5 linked regions of the Canis lupus familiaris genome follow. The protein of the gene in region 5 interacts with the protein of the main gene of each other region in a pairwise test. Links are inferred from orthologs where the notes say so. Each region holds a gene or a part of one and is shown on either strand. Other genes may lie near its edges.

Evidence for each region.
Region 1: the proteins of FBF1 (region 5) and TUBGCP4 interact in a two-hybrid assay, tested with the Homo sapiens proteins (2 studies listed by BioGRID and IntAct). The two-hybrid records come from large-scale screens. The link is inferred for Canis lupus familiaris from reciprocal best matches to the Homo sapiens genes FBF1 and TUBGCP4.
Region 2: the proteins of FBF1 (region 5) and CINP interact in binary tests that used the Homo sapiens proteins (3 or more experiments, as listed by UniProt). The two-hybrid records come from large-scale screens. The link is inferred for Canis lupus familiaris from reciprocal best matches to the Homo sapiens genes FBF1 and CINP.
Region 3: the proteins of FBF1 (region 5) and USHBP1 interact in binary tests that used the Homo sapiens proteins (3 or more experiments, as listed by UniProt). The two-hybrid records come from large-scale screens. The link is inferred for Canis lupus familiaris from reciprocal best matches to the Homo sapiens genes FBF1 and USHBP1.
Region 4: the proteins of FBF1 (region 5) and ACCS interact in a two-hybrid assay, tested with the Homo sapiens proteins (2 studies listed by BioGRID and IntAct). The two-hybrid records come from large-scale screens. The link is inferred for Canis lupus familiaris from reciprocal best matches to the Homo sapiens genes FBF1 and ACCS.

The regions. Positions count from the first base shown.
Region 1 is NC_049251.1:10,523,683-10,527,201, forward strand, and holds part of TUBGCP4 (gamma-tubulin complex component 4), read left to right. Parts: intron 1-1,419; coding exon 1,420-1,548; intron 1,549-3,519. UniProt on the Homo sapiens protein: Component of the gamma-tubulin ring complex (gTuRC) which mediates microtubule nucleation.
Region 2 is NC_049229.1:70,716,479-70,719,997, forward strand, and holds part of CINP (cyclin-dependent kinase 2-interacting protein), read right to left. Parts: intron 1,136-3,519; coding exon 1,006-1,135; intron 1-1,005. UniProt on the Homo sapiens protein: Component of the DNA replication complex, which interacts with two kinases, CDK2 and CDC7, thereby providing a functional and physical link between CDK2 and CDC7 during firing of the origins of replication.
Region 3 is NC_049241.1:45,884,278-45,888,351, reverse strand, and holds the start of USHBP1 (Usher syndrome type-1C protein-binding protein 1), read right to left. Parts: upstream 2,801-4,074; 5' UTR 2,664-2,800; intron 2,383-2,663; exon of another isoform or gene 2,325-2,382; 5' UTR 2,251-2,324; coding exon 2,197-2,250; intron 2,100-2,196; coding exon 1,951-2,099; intron 1,738-1,950; coding exon 1,299-1,737; intron 1-1,298.
Region 4 is NC_049239.1:45,585,486-45,589,004, forward strand, and holds part of ACCS (1-aminocyclopropane-1-carboxylate synthase-like protein 1), read right to left. Parts: intron 3,004-3,519; coding exon 2,944-3,003; intron 404-2,943; coding exon 333-403; intron 1-332. UniProt on the Homo sapiens protein: Does not catalyze the synthesis of 1-aminocyclopropane-1-carboxylate but is capable of catalyzing the deamination of L-vinylglycine.
Region 5 is NC_049230.1:5,576,707-5,580,225, reverse strand, and holds part of FBF1 (fas-binding factor 1), read right to left. Parts: coding exon 3,459-3,519; exon of another isoform or gene 3,303-3,458; coding exon 3,244-3,302; exon of another isoform or gene 2,457-3,243; coding exon 2,301-2,456; exon of another isoform or gene 2,185-2,300; coding exon 2,084-2,184; exon of another isoform or gene 1,957-2,083; coding exon 1,750-1,956; exon of another isoform or gene 1,047-1,749; coding exon 939-1,046; exon of another isoform or gene 854-938; coding exon 714-853; exon of another isoform or gene 628-713; coding exon 509-627; exon of another isoform or gene 1-508. UniProt on the Homo sapiens protein: Keratin-binding protein required for epithelial cell polarization. Involved in apical junction complex (AJC) assembly via its interaction with PARD3. Required for ciliogenesis.

The sequences.
Region 1 (3,519 bases), on a different chromosome or scaffold from region 5:
ATGTTAAATGGATACAGAGTTTCAGTTTGGGAAGATAAAAAAGCTCTGGAGATGGATGGTGGTGATGGATGCACAACAGTGTTAAAATGCACTTAATGCCACAGACAGAACTGTACATATAAAGATGGCTAAAATGGTAACTTTTATGTTACATGTATCTTACCACAATATAAAAAAAATTTTGGTTGAATGAATACACTCTCCTACAACCTTTTTCTACTTGAACTGCTATGAAACCTTTATAAAGTATAGTAGGTTATTGTTTGGCATTCATTTCAATTAAGATAATACCCAGTGAAATGAAATACCAAATACAAATGAAAATATAGGCACTATGTTTATATGTCCAGGTATGGTCCTTTTATAGATTATAGTATGTTACATTAATTTTATTTTTTAAATGAAAATAAATTTTAAAAACTTATAGAGAATTTGTTAATCTTAAGAATATGTCTGAGAGGGATCCCTGGGTGGCTCAGCGGTTTGGCGCCTGCTTTTGGCCCAGGGCGCGATCCTGGAGACCCGGGATCGAATCCCACGTCGGGCTCCCGGTGCATGGAGCCTGCTTCTCCCTCTGCCTGTGTCTCTGCCTCTCTCTCTCTCTCTCTCTCTCTGTGACTATCATAAATAAATAAAAATTAAAAAAAAAAAAAAGAATATGTCTGCGAAACCCCTGGAGTCTACAGATCTTGGTTTGAGCAGTATCACTAAAGAGACATTGTTAAAATCAAAATCTCCATATACCTGGGGTGCGTGGATGGCTCAGTTGGTTGAGTGCATATGCCTTTGGCTCTAGTCATGATCCCAGGGTCCTGAGATCAAGCTTTCTGCTTAGCAGGGAGTCTGCTTTTCCCTCTGCCCTCTTTCTGCTGCTCATTCAGTCTCTCTCTCTCTCTCTCAAAATCTTTTTTAAAAATATTTATTTATTCATGAGAGACACAGAAAGAGAGAGGCAGAGACACAGGCAGAGGGAGAAGCAGGCTCCATGCAGGGGGCCCGATGTGGGACTCGATCCTGGGACTCCAAGGTCACCCCCTGGGCAGAAGACAGATGCTCAACCGCTGAGCCACCCAGGCATCCCGTCAAATAAAATCTTATAACAAACAAATCCCCATATCCTTATAGGCCATCCCTGGAAGATTGCATAAGAAACAAATAATAGTAGCTACCTGTGGGGAGGTCGACTTATTTTTAATCTACAACATTTGGTAGTATTTGAATTCTTTACCATGTGCTACCACCTATTTCAGTAAACAATTAATTAGATCAAGGATGGAGAACAACACCTTTGTAGCAGTTTGGAATTTACCAAGCTTAAATGGGCATCTGGAGAAGGAAAGTGATTCATAGTATGAAGCATTTGAAGCACATCAAAGATATGCAGGCATCAGTGTTTTTAGCCTGTTCCTCTTCCTACAGGTGTCACAGGACTTCCCATTTCTCCATCCAAGTGAAACCAGTGTCTTGAACCGACTCTGCCGGCTGGGCACAGACTATATTCGCTTCACTGAGTTCATTGAACAGTACACGGGCCATGTGCAGCAACAGGTAGGCTGCTGTTCCCAGGGAATGGACACCTCCAGAGGTCAGGAGCCATGTCAAGTTTTGAGTGAATCCACTGGTAATTGATATGAAATAAGTCTCAAGGTGTTATGAATTTCTCATCATTGGAATTACTCAAGTGAGGGCCAGATAACTGTCTAGCTCAAACAAAGAAGATATACACAGGGACCAATTTAGGCAAGTTTGTATAAGAGAAAATATGCTTTGCCTGAGTTTTAGGAGACCTGAGTTAAATCAGTTTGAGCTGGACCAGAGTTCCAATTCCAGTAAAAGCACAGTGCATCATTTCAGATCTTTTTTGCCCATTTTGCTTCTAACTTCCTTAGTCACATGGACACAATCAACTAAAGTCTTTGGGCTTCATTTTTCTTATTTGAAAATGAAAGAGTTGCTGAGTGAAGTAAGTCAGTTGGAGAAGGACAAACATTATATGTTCTCATTCATTTGGGGAATATAAATAATAGTGAAAGGGAATATAAGGGAAGGGAGAAGAAATGTGTGGGAAATATCAGAAAGGGAGACAGAATGTAAAGACTGCTAACTCGGAAACGAACTAGGGGTGGTAGAAGGGGAGGAGGGCGGGGGGGTGGGAGTGAATGGGTGACGGGCACTGGGGGTTATTCTGTATGTTGGTAAATTGAACACCAATAAAAAATAAATTAAAAAAAAGAAAAAGAAAATGAAAGAGTTAAATCAGAGAAAGTGCTTGGCACATAGTAAGCACTTAATAAATATTATCATTAATATGAATTAATTGGAAGTGTACACTATTAATTGTGATTAATGGTGTAGAGGTCAAGGTTTTGTGTCCTGCTCTATCACTTACTAGCCATAGACTGCTTGGCAGTAACCTAATGCTTAGTAACTACGGCTCAGTTCACTTATCCATAAAATAGGATAATAGGTGGAACCTATCTCATAGGGTTGTAAAGATTAAACAAGGTAATTCATGCAAAGTGCCTGGCACATAGTAAGCACTCATTTCTTTAAAGAGAAATTTTAAAGTTCCCTTTTATTTTTAACAGTCTGTAATTCTGTCCATGGTAAGTAAAAAGATTACTGAATTGTGTAACTCTGATTCAGTATGACTGTTGCCCAGTTGATTCTGGTTGAGGAGAAAGGCAGGGACTTCTAGAAAGAGAAAGGAAGGATTCCTGAAATAATGCAGTCAGTACTTTCTGTTTTATAAGTTGGTTGTCAGACTTTTGGTGGATGGACATCTATGGGGCAGAGTTTTTGGAGAATAATACCTTATATTTTCATCTCTGGGACAGGGATTCAGATTCTCTCAAAAAGATTTTATTGCAAATATATAAGCTAAATGTGAGCTTAAAATCTAATCAATGCCATTTTGCTATAAAATCATATTAATGAGGGCACATGAATTATCAGAGTTACAACCCATATATATATTTATGTAGATGAGAAGGCCTTTAGTTTTAATTTTTACAAGTAACACTTAAAAGAAAAAAACCTGTCCTGTATTCCTGTGACTATATGGATTTTATCTTATATAATATGTGAATTCCTGCTTTCCCAAATTCTAAAGATATCTATAGTGCCTCTTTTTTTGGAACAGTAAAAAGCATACTTAATTTCTCTTTCATTTAGTGATAAATGAAGACATTCAGTTCTCTGGAATGACACAGGATCAAAACAAAATTGGCTGGTTGTACGCCCATCTGGTCTGTTTCACCCTATAACCATGCCAGTCTTATTATAGCTGTGAACCTTTATCTTCAGGAACTGCTAGTATCTTTTGCAACATCATCTGACTACACTGTGCCTCATAACCCCAGAGTCCAAGTTTCCTACCCCATTTGTTGTAGAATTCTGTGATTGTATCTACTGCCAACAGAGCCTGATCACCCAAGTCAGTACCTAGCTAGAGAGGCTGGTCATCATAGCCTATAGTCAGCTTCCTCTGCCATTCCCTGTGTAAAATACAGAAGAGGC
Region 2 (3,519 bases), on a different chromosome or scaffold from region 5:
AATCTTAAAAAAAAAAAAAAGTTGGATGCTTCAGCAATTGAACCCAAGATGGGTTTTGGGGAACCCAGGCACCCCAAAACCCATCTTTCTATAAAAGAAAAAAGAATTCTGCCTCTGTAGAGGATGTGGAATTCATTGTACCCTTGTTTTTTTTCTTTTTTTTTCTTTAAAGGTTATTATTATTATTTTTTTATTAGGTAATCTCTGTGGCCACTGTGGGGCTTGAACTCATGACCCCAAGATCAAGAGTCACTGGCTCTATGGACTGGGTCCAGCCCAGGTGCCCCAACCACCTGGTGTTTGTTTGTGTGTGTGTTTTTTAAGATTAATCTTTATTTATTTGTTTGTTTGTTTGTTTATTTATTTATTTATTTGACACAGAGAAAGAAAGTGCATAAGCTGAGGGAGGGGTAGCGGAGAAGCAGGCTCCCTGCTCAGTGGGGAGCCCAACACGGGGCTCCATCCCAGGACCCCAAGATCACGACCTGAGCTGAAGGTAGGCACTTTACAGACTCAGCCACTGAGGGGCTGCACCTCGTGTCCCCAACCCCGACCACTTGGTTTTAAAGGGGCAATAAAGGCACCTTGCTTCCCATGTCTGTAATTATGTTTAATATTCTTTGGTAATTATTAGAGCCAAGAAGAAATGCCTATTCTAGGATGCCCCTCAATCTCCTTCCCTTCCAGTGGGTCCTCTCAAATTGAATTTCTTTTTTCTTTTCTTTTTTTTTTTAAGATTTTGTTTGTTTATTCATGAGAGACACAGAGAGAGAGGCAGAGACACAGGCAGAGGGAGAAGCAGGCTCCATGAAGGGAGCCCGACGTGGGACTCGATCCCAGGACTGCGGGATCACGCCCTGAGCCAAAGGCAGACGCTCAACTGCTGAGCCACCCAGGCATCCCTCAAATTGAATTTCAAAGCCTGTCAGCTTCATCAAGATCTAAAGAACACAAATGCCCTCATGATTTCTACTCCTGAGAATCAACGAGGAGAGAACTACTTACAGAAATAGGCTGTGGGCCACGTGTGAAACAGGGGAGGGCGATGCCTCCCGTCCCTGTAATGGTAGTCCTCTAGCTCACAAACCCCCTTGGTGGTCGAAGACAGCTTTTCCATTTTCATCTGGATTTTGGCCTGGAAAGAGATTAATTGGGAACATGAGAACCTCATCTGAAATCCATTCCCGTCTCAGATTCAATAACTCTAAGATTTCGGAGCTAAGATGTAGAAGTCTGTTGGGACCCAAAGTCCAATAACTCAACACTGTTAACTGTGCGCCGCACATTTCTGGGGAGATGGAGGCAGAGAGTTGCTACAATTTCATTAATCTGGATTACTTCAGAAATAAACCCTGGATTTCCAGCACTGGAAAGAAAAAGCTTGCCGACTCCCACTTCGCTAAGATTTCTGAAGGCACTAACTTTTTAGCACCGAAAACCCGGAGGAATCGCAAGGCAGGCTCCACTTTTATGCAATGAGAAGAGAAAGGGTATATTATATGAGTTCATTTCTGACTTTTATTAGCTGCCTCTGAGATTACTGAAACCTTGAAGGCTCAGTTTCCTCATTTGTAGAACGGTGGTAATGAAAGGCAGCCTGACATACTTGACACGGGAAGTGGTGAGAGCTGACGGCCACGGTGCTCCGGTGGGTGTGCTCTACGGGAAGCCACTGACCACATCATCTGCCCGGCCACTGCAGGGGACCCGGGCACCATCTCCACTGCACGGATGAGCCAGCAGAGGCTCTGACAAAGTGTGTCCTTTCACGTGGTGGTGAAGAAGACCAAGTATTTCTGAAGTACCTAGTTGGAGCTATAGATGGGTTTGTTAAAAAAAGGGGTGAAGTGACTAAGATTTCAGTTTCAAGCAGCACAGACCTACTAAGACCACATTCTAACTCCTATGTATACTTAGTCCTAGGTACACGGGTAAGTACAGAGACCTATAAATTGTCAAAATCTGAATTCCTTACACTTGGTTCTTTAGCCACTCTCCCATTATACTGAAGTGATATAAGTTTAGCTAACATTGACTTTTTTTTAAAAAAGATTTTATTTATTTATTCATGAGAGACAGAGAGAGAGAGAGGCAGAGATATAGGCAGAGAGAGAAGCAGGCTCCATGCAGGGAGCCTGATGTGGGACTCGATCCCGGGGACTCCATCATGCTCTGAGCCAAAGGCAGACTGCTGAGCCACCCAGGTGTCCCACTAACCTTGATTTTTAAAGGACTACACTCTTCTTCCCAATCTTTTTAGGTTTGCTATATCGCTTGGCCCAATCCCAGGAAGTAGGACTCAGCATTTCTGTAATAGAATTGGGACGATCCTGAGGGCTGCTGAGCTAGGGAAGGTCAAAGCCAGCACCCCCACCATGTTTCCTGACCCCAGGTCTCTTGATGCACCATCCTATGTTCTTTGCATCCTGCAGCAGCTCCCTCTTGCCACCTAATTCAAAGCAGAGCTTATAAATGATCAGGAGAGTAAGAAAAATCCTGGAGGCCTGACCCAGGTCATCAACAGAGACAAAGGTTATGCAGTGAGCAGCCCCGAACCTGCAGGACATGAACCTGCCCACACTCCCAGCTCAACCTCAGTACACCTCCTCCCACCGACCAAACTGCAAAATGTTCATCCAGATTAGGGAAAGGGGTGTGTGAAAGCCTCCTGCCAAGGTCAAACTCATTAAAGACATTCAAAGCCAAGTCTGGGAAATCACTCTCTCCACAAGCTGGAGAACAGGAAAAATGATATTAAAAAGCCTTATAACATTAACTTTTCGGTTTGAACATAGAATGAGAACTTGTTTCCAAACCTCTTCAAAATAGAATAAATTCACCAGAGCAGAGGATTTTAGTGCCTGACAGCTGGCACTCGGATCTTGGTTTCTAAAACCATGCTCCAATAAGAGCAACAGGGGCTCCTTGGAGAAATGGCTGATCCTAGGATGGAGGCAGGAAATACATGGGATGGGCCTGGAGCACCTCGTAATGCTAGAAAGTAAGGAAGTGTTCGCAAACACCCAAACCAAAAACTCACAATGGTGGAAGCATGTCAAAGGGACAGAGGAGCCAACAGAACTCTTTATGGCCAAAGCAGAAACAATTTGAGGAACAAAATAAAGAAATAAATATATTATAACCAAAGTGGAAAAAAAAAAAACAACCCATGAGTCCATACTGCTAGAAACAAATGGTCCAGTAACTAATAGGTGGGGGAAGAGAGGCAGGATTTATGTACATGCTCTGTCCCCAAGGAGGTGGGGAAGAACTTTCCATGCCTCCAGGGTGGGCTGTGTGCACAGCAGGAAAGGAGCTCCTTTTGCAGAGCAACCGGGGAGCACCTCAGCCAGGTGGTCAAGGTTAACACTCATGGCGATCTGGCGGGGTCACAGTCCACGCCCTTGACGGGATGTGATGATATCTCTTCTCTGTGGTCTCCCTGAAAAACCCACAACCCCTGCCAAACCAGAAGAAAGTCATCAGACAGCTCCCAAGTGAGGGGCAGCTGCAAAATGC
Region 3 (4,074 bases), on a different chromosome or scaffold from region 5:
ACTTATATTTGGGATCTAAGATAAAACAAAACGAAAAATTGAACTCACAGTTATAGAGAACAGAGTGGTGGGTGCCAGAGGCAGTGGGGGTGAGGAGAGGAATGTGGGTGGGGGTGAGGAGAGGAATGTGGAGCGGGGATCATCTTTCCCAGCCAGGAAGTGGGCCCCACCCCTTAGGCTGGGCTCTGGTGGCCCCATATCTTGCCACCTTGGCCTGCCCAAGATGAGGGCCTGTTCCCCCATCTCCTTCAGCCACATGGCTTTAGATTCCATCCACATGTTAAAGAGGTCGGGATGTGTTTCTCTTGTCCTGACATCTCCCCTGAGCTCTGGATTCTGACCCCACAACTGTGTCTTTGATGGTCCTACATGGGTGGCTCAGGGGTTTCTTGAACTCATTAGGGTCCCAACAGCTCCTGGTCCTGCATTTCTGGCTCCCAGTCCCGCAGGCCCCCAAACCAGGACTTGTCCTCAACCCTTCTCTGGCTTTCACACCCAAACCTGCCAGCTCCACCTTCGACACCACCCAGAATCTGCCCACTTTGTGCCACCTCCACAGTTTCCACCATCTGGTGTCTGGACCAGTGCCTCGCGGATCCGCCGGCTGTTCCTCCCATGCCTACCAGAGGGCGCCTGTGACCGCGGCACCAGGTCCCGCCCCTTTCTGCCGCGGGAGGGCGAGGGTGGGGGGGCGAGGGGGAACCCCCCAGGAGCCCACCAGGCTCAGGGCCAAAGCCCAACTCCCAGAAGCCCACAGACCGTGTAAATCTGCCCCCATCACTAACCTGCCCTCCCCTCACCCCCACACTGGCTTGCTCACTGTTCCCTGACTCACACTCCCACCTCTGGAAGGGAGCTCCTTCTCCGCCTGGCATGCTCTTTCCCCAGATCCTTGCATGGCTCCTCCCTTACCTCCTGGCTCAAGTGTCACCTCCTCAAGGGGCATCTCTGACCACCTTATCTAAGAAGGCAAGGCACCTTTGTTCAGGGCTCTGCAGCAGTCAACGCTCCATAAAAGTTTTTCTCTTTCTTTTTTTAGATTTTATTTATTTATTCAGAGGAGACACAGAGAGAGAGGCAGGCTCCCTGTGGGGAACCTGATGTGGGACTCGATCTCAGGACCCTGGGATCATGACCTGAGTCAAAGGCTCAACTCAAGTCAACCACTGAGCCACCCAGGCGTCCCTCCGTAAGAGTTTTTCTAATGAACAAACAATGGAAGGTTGCCTATGCCAGGCCCGCCTCCCCCTTAGACAGAGAACCCTCAGAGGTAGAGCACAATACGTCGAGACCCTCACCTCTCTCTGCAGCATCTCCTTCTCCCCCTGGATGGCCTGCAGGGAGGCCTGCGTGCGAATCAGCTCCTCCTCTCGGCTGCCCAAGGCCAATCGTAGCCAGTCATTCCTCTCTGCCAGGCTGGCTGCCTCCCTCTGGCAACCACTTGCCCCCTCCTGCTCCAAGCAGGGCCTTGGTCCCACCTCACTTCTGTCCTCTGCCTCCCCGGGCCCAGGACAGCTGGGGGGCCGGCGGCGCCAGGCAGCCGCCGCCGCCTCCAGGGAGCTCAGAGCATGCTGGAGAACCTGAAACACGTCAGAGGCTTCAGGCCTGGGGGGGACAGTCTCCCCATCCTGTGGAGCTACATCTCTGGCCTGGTGGCCTTCCTCTGCAGGCTTGCGGGGTCCCTCGGGAGATGGGGCCAGTCCTCTGCTAGAGTCCCCCTCAGCCTCTTTGTTGGTCCTGTGGTGAAGTGAGAGACAGAAGGTTCTGGAAATGGGGTCATCTGGGGTGGCTGGCTCACAGAGGGTGCATTATCCGGGGCCTTGAAAGTTGGGCAAGGAGGGCAGTGGGAAGCTACGGCGTGTGTGTGAGCAAGGGAGGAACACAGGTAGATCTGTGGGGAGGAAAGACACACCAGGGCCGGAGTGGGAGCCCAGACGGAGGGGACCTTACCTGTTCCCAAGGCCCTGCCCACTGGCCTCTGCCTCTGGCCCCTGCAGCCTCGGCTCGCAGCTCTCCTGAGATGGCACAGGGCCCAGCTCAGAGCTCCCGCTGGCTGCCTCAGCCTCCTCTGAACTCTCCGCCACGGGATCCAGCTCCCCCTGAAAATGACCCACAGGGCCAAGCTCCGAGCCAGGCCGGGGGCGAGGGGGTGAGTGACCCCAAAGAGCTGGATGCGGCAGGGAAGGGGGCACTTACAGGTGGCGCGTGCCTCCCTCGCCGGCTTCGGGGTCGCGTGGCCCGGGCACTCATTGCTGTCCAGAATTCAGTCCTCTGATTCTTTTTCCGAAAGCCGCAGCCTGATCTCGGCTCTTGTCTTTGTTGGTCTGGGCGAATGACAGCCTTAATACCTTCTTCTATGAAATGAGCATCGATCTCCTCCCGCTGGGAGGGATCTTGAATTACCAGTGTTGAGCTGGCACATTTGAATACCCCTCCTGACAGGCAGCTCACTACCTCACAAGTTTGTTCCCACCTCCCCTTGTCTTTTGCCTCCTTTATCTTTCACTACCTCTGTGCTCCCCTCGGTCCCCAATCTGGACCTGGCTCGAGGACTTCAAGAATCACCTCTCCTCCCCAGGGTCCTCTTGAGTCGGAGGCCCCAATCTTGGGGTTGGGTCCCCTCAGCCTGCTCTAATGCTACTCCTCTGTACCTCTAGGAATACCTTGGTCAGCAGCCCAAATCCCTGGACACTCTTGGGGTAGCTCTGGCCACTGCTTGCTTAGGCCCCGGGCTGGCCAAGGCTGGCTTGGGAGAGGCCGGGAAACAGGAAGCCCCCTCCCCTGGTCATGTGACTTGTTATTGTGCTATTTCCTCCTCAAGGACATCAGCTTCCTCCAGTCCCGGTGGGACACACATGTCCAGCTCCTGACCTGTCGGTCCTTCCTTGCCCCAGCCTCCAATCTCATGTCTCTTCCGCCTCTGAGCCTCAGTTTCCTTATCTGTAAAATGGGGGGGGGGGGCTTTAATTATAGGATCTGTCTACAGTGTCATGGGAATTTTAACAAGCAACTTGCACATGACTGAGCACCATCCAAGAACTGAATTGTAACACACCACTCTTGTTCGCTGCCTCTCCGGCCCTCCCATCTCTGCTTCCTCTGCCAGCTGCTGCTTCTCCTGGATTCCTCAGGGCACAGATCGCCCCTACATCCTGCCCATTTTTCCTGCATCCATCTCTAAAGGGCCTCGTCATCTCCCTCCATAACAGCCCAACCCTCTCCCCTCTACCGGGATGCCAGCCCCTCTCTCTCCGTGGACTCTACAGCCACCCACCCCTTGACTCCCTTCCCCTCCCAGGCCCCAGAGACAGAGACCTCATTGTTCACCTCTTCTGCTCACACACCCTCCATGACTCCCCATTGCCCTTGGGAAACATTTCAAGCTCTTCTACCCGGCATTCGAGGCCCTTAAAAATAATGCCTGCTGTCTGCACCCATGTATACTCCATGCTTTAGCCATGATGACCCCTCTGTGAACAGGTGAAGGTTCACAATTCTCACATCCCAGGGCCTTTGGTTATGCTGTAACCCTTTCCTTGTTTCTGCACTTGGCTTATTTTTTATTTATTATTTTTTAAAGATTTTATTTATTCATGAGAGACACAGAGAGAGGCAGAGACATAGGCAGAGGGAGAAGCAGGCTCCCTGCCGGGAGCCCGAAGCAGGACTCAATCCCAGGATCCCTCGGGATCAGGACCTGAGCTGAAGGCAGCCGCTCAACCACTGAACCTCCCAGGTGCCCCTACACTTGGTTTAAACTGCGCAGAGCCTGGAGTAGCCTGAATCTTCCTCATTCCGCTGACAGACAGAGGAGGCTGAGTCTTCCTGCTTCTGCGTCCCCAAAACTGGTAAGGAAATAAGTTGCAATTCTCTGACTTGGGGGCACCCAGGCACATTGAAATCTACACTCTTAGCCTCTGCTCCAGCCATTTTTTTAAAAAAAGATTTTATTTATTTATTCATGAGAGACACAGAGGCAGAAACAAGGCGGAGGGAGAAGTAGGCTCCCCGCGGAGAGCCTGATGTGAAACTTGATCCCAGCATCCTGGGACCACCACCTGAGCTGAAGGCAGA
Region 4 (3,519 bases), on a different chromosome or scaffold from region 5:
GGAGCTCCTGAGCTGGGTGAGACGACCACACGCTCTCTCCCTGCAGATGCTCCAGGAGACCCCACGACTGCCAGGTCTCCAGGACAGGCCCTCAGCCTCAAGCAGGCTTTCTCTACCTGCCATATTCACATCTGGGGCAGGGTCATTATTTGTTGTGGGGGCTTTCCTGGGCATCGTAGGAGGTTTTGCAGCATCACCGGCCTCTACCCAGGAAATGCCAATAATACCTCCTTCCCAGTTACGATAACCATAAGTGTTCCCAGGTGCCCTATGTCCCCTGGGGAGCAAAACCACCCTGGGCTGAGAACCACTGGCCCATGGCAACTACTTACAACAGATGTCCCCTCCAGTCAGGGTACTGCAGCAATGATGGCTCCACCCGCAGCATGTCACTCTGACTCAGCTAGGGACAGAGGGAAGAGTGGGGCTGAGTATCTGACTCTCGATTTCTGCTCTGGTCATGATCTCAGGGTCATGAGATCGAGCACCTGACTGAGCTCCTTGTGGGGCTGCTTGGGAGAGTCTGCTTGGGATTCTCTCTCTCCCTCTCCCTCTGTCCCTTCCCTTGCTCATATGTTTGTGCTTGCATGAATGAATGAATGAATGAATGAATATACAAACATATATATTTAAAAAATTAAAAACCCAGAGGGGTGGATTTGTAGAGGCAGTGATAGACCATGCTACTCGGCTTCTCGTTGGGGTGACACAAGGGGTCCTAGCATTGGGTGCCATCCCCTCAGTGTTGGCTCCAACTTCTGGAGGGATTCAGGCCATTGTGTTCCTGGCTCAGTTCAACCCTATGCTTTGGAAAATGTGGCCATTTTGGGATGCCTGGGTGGCTCAGTGGTTGAGCATCAGCCTTCAGCTCAGGGTGTGATCTTGGAGACCCAGGATCAAGTCCCACATCGGGTCCCCAGCATGGAGGACTCCTTCTCCCTCTGCCTGTGTCTCTGCCTCTCTTTCTCTCTCTCTCATGAATAAATAAATAAAATATTTTTAATTTTTTTTTAATGCAACTGTTTCAGCAGCCTGGGTGGCTCAGCAGTTTAGCACCGCCTTCAGCCCAAGGCGTGATCTTGGAAACCCAGGATCAAGTCCCACATCGGGTCCCCAGCATGGAGAACTCCTTCTCCCTCTGCCTGTGTCTCTGCCTCTCTTTCTCTCTCTCTCTCTCTCTCTCATGAATAAATAAATAAAATATTTTTAATTTTTTTTTTTAATGCAACTGTTGCAGCAGCCTGGGTGGCTCAGCAGTTTAGCACTGCCTTCAGCCCAAGGCGTGATCTTGGAAACCCAGGATCAAGTCCCACATCGGGTCCCCAGAATGGAGAACTCCTTCTCCTCTGCCTGTGTCTCTGCCTCTCTCTCTCTCTCTCTCTCTCATGAATAAATAAATAAAATCTTTAAAAAATACAGCTGTTTCGACACCATCCCCACCCTGACCTGATGCTGGGTAACTCCCAGAGCATCGCACACACAGTGCCAAGGAAAGCCAGAAGTCTTGAGAAGGGAACCAAAGGAAGAAAGGCAATCAGCCACTTGGACACAACTCCAGCCTTCTCCCCCTCCCCTTCTGCCCATAGAGCTGCCCTGTCTAGTCGAAGGCCGCTAGCCATGCGTGTCTGCTGAGCACTTGGAGTGTGGCTTGCCTGAACTGAGCCAACTCACTGGATTTTAAAGACTTGATATGAAAACTACGTAAAATATGCCAATTTTTTACATTGATTACATGTTGAAATGGTCCTATTTTGGATATATTAGGCTAAATAAAATATATTCCTCAGATGAATTTACCAGTTTCTTTTTACTTATCTAACAGGATATTTTAAATTATATATGTGGCTCACATTTTACTTCTGTGGGTCAGTGCAGCAGGGAACTGGTAGGTAGACCATGCCTTTTGAGCCCCCTCCCTATATGCCTCTCCCCTTAGGTCTTAGATTTGTCTCCCTTGGAAATAAGTTCCTTTGGGTCAGCCGTCACTCCCACCACAAGCCCAGACTCTGAGTCCGTGGCCTTGGAAAACACATTTATCAGGCATATTTAGTGGTTTGCTAGAGATGGCTCACACCAGCTCAAGAAATCTACTTAGTAAGTTTCCAGGAATTTTACAGGCTATGCTAAAAAAATTTTTTTAATTAAACTGTATAAATGTACAAATAAGTACACTGCATTAAAAAACACCAGTAATAAACGAAGGTAATAACTAAAACATCACTACTTCTGATTATGTCACTACATTCCTACATGTGCTCTTGAGGTTATTTCCATCTTTGTGTCTAGATGGTGGGGATACTACATAATGGGTGCCACAACCCCTTTTTTCCCAACTTTGTGTGCAGAGAGGTCATACCCGTGGCTTGAAATCAGCCACAGTGGAGGTATTTACACTATGGGAATTGGCAAAAGCGACAAATCAGAGTCCTCCCTACCCCAGAGCCAGTTGTTAAATACTGATCACACCCCACTGAATGCTCCCTATCCCACCCCCACCCCATGAGAGCAGGACCCAGCCAGCAGCGGGAGGGACTGAGTGTGGGGAAGAGGTGAAGAAGCAGGATCCAGGGATCCCTGGGTGGCGCAGCGGTTTGGCGCCTGCCTTTGGCCCAGGGCACGATCCTGGAGACCCGGGGTCGAATCCCACGTCAGGCTCGCTGCATGGAGCCTGCTTCTCCCTCTGCCTGTGTCTCTGCCTCTCTCTCTCTCTCTCTGGGTGACTATCATAAATAAAAAAAATAAAAAAAAAAAAGAAGCAGGATCCAAATAGGGAAGTGACTCACCCAAGATCACAGAGGTTGTCCCTGAGACGGACCTGGAACCTGGGTCTCCTGGCTCAGGCCAGGGCTGCTGAGGCAAGCAGCAGGCTCTTATCAGGGAAGTGTTCCAGGGAAATCCAAGAAAAGACAGTCCCTGGGAGCTGCTGATGCCACTAGGACTTACCCGTCTGGATAACAGGTCAAAGCAGAGTTTATTCTCACTGGTGCCCAAGTTAATGATGCCCTGGAGACAGAGAGACGGAGGCAGGGTGAGCACAGCCCAGGGGTCCCAAAGGATGGCCCGAGGAGCACACTGAGTCAGGAAAGCAAAGAGGGAGTAATCCTGCCCCTCCAAACACCCTTCCTTGTCCCACCTCCACTCAGCTCCCTGGTCCCATCTTCACATTTCTAAAGCTCTATTAATGCCATCTCCTCCAGGAAGCCTCCCCAGAACCCGGCCTAGAAAGGTACATCTTTTCTTCTTCTGGAACCCAAAGCTCTTGATCTGTTGCCCTTTAGAGCACCCCACTTAGTCTCTGCTTCCAGGTCACAGGGACCAATGTACATGCTTTATCTCCCCCACTGGATGATCAGATCCCTGAAGGCTGGATGCATGCCTGAGACACCACTGTATCTCGCAAGAAGATACATGTTTACAGTACAAGAGAATGTACAAAGTAAAGCAGTGCTGCAGTACCTTCTGCAGTAGAACAGAAACAGGGATACCTGTCAGCCAAGAAGGGCTCCCATGGGAGACCCC
Region 5 (3,519 bases):
CATCCACCAAGCAGGCAAGTGTGCCAGGGCAGGTGTGACACGGTGTATGCCAGGGGACTAGGGGACACACAAGCATGGCCCGAGACAGGGGCCTTAATAGTTACCAAATAACTGAATACGTATGGTTCACGAAACAAACACACCAGGTCAGTATGTCTATGGGAGGGATGGGAGGTCCCCAGTGGCTATCTCTGGCTAGTGGGTAATTTTAATTTGCTCCTTTGTTGCTAATCATATTTTAATTTTTTCAATATAATGTATCACGTTATAATCTAGTACAAAGGAAAGAAAAGGAATGACTTTTTTAGAGAATGGAGCTTGCTCTTCTATACAAAAGATATGCAGGACTTCAAACGTGCAGCTCTTAGAGCTCAGCAGACATCGGCTTCGGTGGATGGATGAATGTGACGGACCCGGGCAAGGTGGGGAGAACGCGTGGGAAGGAGAGCCCTGGCGGCACCCCTGGGGTGCTGGGGAGACAGGCCCTGCCGGCAGGAGGATGGCCCACCTGCTCCAGTAGCCGGCTTTGCTCGTTCAGGCGCGCCTCCATCTTCCCGATGACCTCCTGGAGCCGGCTCCGCTCCTCCTCCATGTCCCGCTGCTGCTGGCCCAGCCTCTCCTGCAGCGCTGGGGGGGCCATGGGGCACTCAGCACCCACCCACTGTTCTAGTGCGATGGGGGTGCAGGGGCAGGACCTGGGGCCCACCCGGTACCTCGGAGCTGCTGGTCATGTTGCCGGAGCCCGAGCTCCCGTTCCTGGGTGGTGGTGAGGTGCGAGGCCTCCACGCGGGAGGACAGCTCGTGCAGGCTGCTGGAGAACTTCTCCATCTGCTCGATGATGCCGTTCAGGGATCTGGGTGGGTGCGGGTACTGGGTCAGCCTGGCCCCGGGCCATGGGTCTGCCCCTCGGGTGGGCAGGGCCTGGATGCTGCACATACCGCGTGTGGGAGGTGGCGCTGGTGACCGCGTCGATCTCGCGGTCCTTCAGCAGCTTCATCCGCTGCAGCTGCTCCTCGTGGTCCTTGCGCATCTCCAGGATGGAGGCCCTGAGAGCAGTGGGGGGTGGCGCAGTGAGCATGTGCGCAGAGCCGCGGCAGAGGGCTCAGCCATCAGCGCTCCTGGCGTCTCTCCTCCTCCTCCTCCTCTCCTCCAGGCACTGCCTCTGCTTCTTTGGCTCCTCATCCTATGTGTCTTGGGGCCTCAATGTCACATCCACTCTAACGGGGAGACTCCTTCTGTTATTTAGCAAAGGATGCTTTACACAGTAGGAAAGACGGGTGTGTGGACAGCCTCTTCTGTCTGGCCAGTCCGGGAAGTGTTAAAAAAATCTGCTCTGCACACATCGACTGGCTCCCTTATGTACCTGTTCTTAGTTCCATTCTCATCTAGAAAGGCAACCAGATGGACACACCAAGCGCAAAAGTGCAAACCCTTTCCAAGGTCGATCTAGTCACTAGACTGGAGTGCGTCAGTGGGTGAAGGACTTGACCTGTGTTGAGTTAGGTCCTTGAGATGCCGGGATTAACCTAAACAGCCAGGGACCTCTGCCCTGCTGTTGGAGGAGTATGGGCCCTCCACTCAAAGGGGGGTGGGTGGGTTAGTGTGCTTGGCCTTGGTCCTCACATGGAAGGGAAGGGGTCACGCTTCAGTTGCTGAGCCACGGCTTGGGGGGTCTCCAGGAAACGGACTTCCTCTGGCCATCCTCCAAACCAGCTCCCCCTGCCTGCCTGCCCTGGGCCTCGCCCTCACCGCTGCAGCTCCCGAAGCCGCTCCATCTCCTGGTCCTTCTCTTGCATGGCAGCCGCCAAGCGACGCTGGTGCTGGGCTGTGAGCTCGGCGTGGGCTTGCTCAGCTTCTTGGCAGTGAGACAGATACCGGGCCGACAGCTCCTCATGCTCCCTCCGTAGCCGCTCTTCCCGTTGCTGGTACGATGTTTCTAGCACCTTTATTCGGCTTCTGCCAACAAAACACAGTCGTAGGGCTCAGAGGGTGAGGTGAGATACCTAAAGAGCCTCTCGGAGCACGTTGGCTAGGGCAGGCCCTGAGGCTTGGGAAACCCAGATGGGAGGAGTTGGGGGGGTACCTGTGAGCACTCTCGATGAGCTCTAGGTCAGCCTGGTGCCGCTGCTGCAAACTCTCCAGCAGCAGCTGGTGCTGTGCCCGCTCTAGCTCCAGCTTCCGCACCTGGAGACGGTGGGAGGGTGGCAAGGGGGGCTCCCTGGGGAAGCCTTCGGGCCCTCAGAGGGAGACCTTCCCGTCTCAGCTTTGCCCCCCAGCCCGGGGCTCCTCTGCCCCTTCACCTGGGCCTCCAGCTCTGCCAGCTGGGCCTGACTCTGCAGAAGGTCAGCCTGGAGCTCAGTAGTGCCACTCTGAAGCTGCACCTGTGCGGCCAGGAGCTGTCTCTGGTATTCTGTGCCTGGCAACAGGCTCTGCACCAGGGCCTCCGGGAGCAGAGGCTGCAGGAGAGGGTGGGAGATGTTCCAGGGGACAGGGACTCAGCGAAGCTCAGCTACCTTTGGCCCTTAGCTCACTGGACCTCCCAGGCCCTGCACTTGACCTGTGGCTGCAGATGGGGACAGAGATGTGACACCAAGAGGCCAAGGACGAGGCCTTGGAGTCATGCAACTGTTGTACCTCCCCACTGAGTCTGGTTAGAATGAGTCTCCGCTCCCCCCTCAGAACATCTTCCCAGCAGGTGTTCCAGATCCCTGGACCAGCCGCAGGGCCCCAGCAGCATCTCAGCTGTGACAGTAGTGTCCTCCTGCCAGGCCTCCAGACCAAATGTTGGGTGCTACTCTTCTTCCTGCAGGTTGCCCACCCCCTACCACCTCCAAAGGTGCTTCTGGGTTCCTGGGGATATGTCTCTGTGGCCTCCTCACTGCTGGGCTCAGGCGTGACTGGCTGCCATCCACAGCTGGCAAACAGCAGACAGCAAGTATGGAGGCAGCTTTCTAGACAGACGACGGGACATCTGCAGCCCTACTTTCTGACCATTCCTTGCTCCATGCTCCCCAACCTCCCCTGTGGATGCCACCTCTAATTCCCTCCCAGAGTTGATAAATTACTATGACTCTGCCCGAGAATGGCAAGGCTAGAAGTTGAGGGAAGTGCTGGGGGAGGTGCTGTCTATCCTGACACATGACTCCCCGTAGGCTATTGGCTCAAACTACAGCTGTTGCCTCTGAGCACGGGAGATTTGCTCCATGGGCCTGAGGCCCATTCCTGTCTGTCCACCCTGCCTACCTGGGCGGGCAGAGAAGGCCCTGTGGGCTCCTGGGACCTCGGGAGACCAGCTGCAGGCTCTGAAAATCAACGACAGAGAAATGAGCAGGAGGCCTGAAGAGCATCTCTTGTGTGTTTGGGAGTCCAGCTCTACTCACCTTCCAGGACCCCAAAGGAAGCTCAAAGTGCCTCTTCCCCACCCAGAGGTAAAGCATCAAACAAAGTAGGAAACAAACCAGCACTGGAGAGGTCTCCAAGGGCTGTTCCCTTCTTTGGGTCACCTACAGGGAGGGTCGA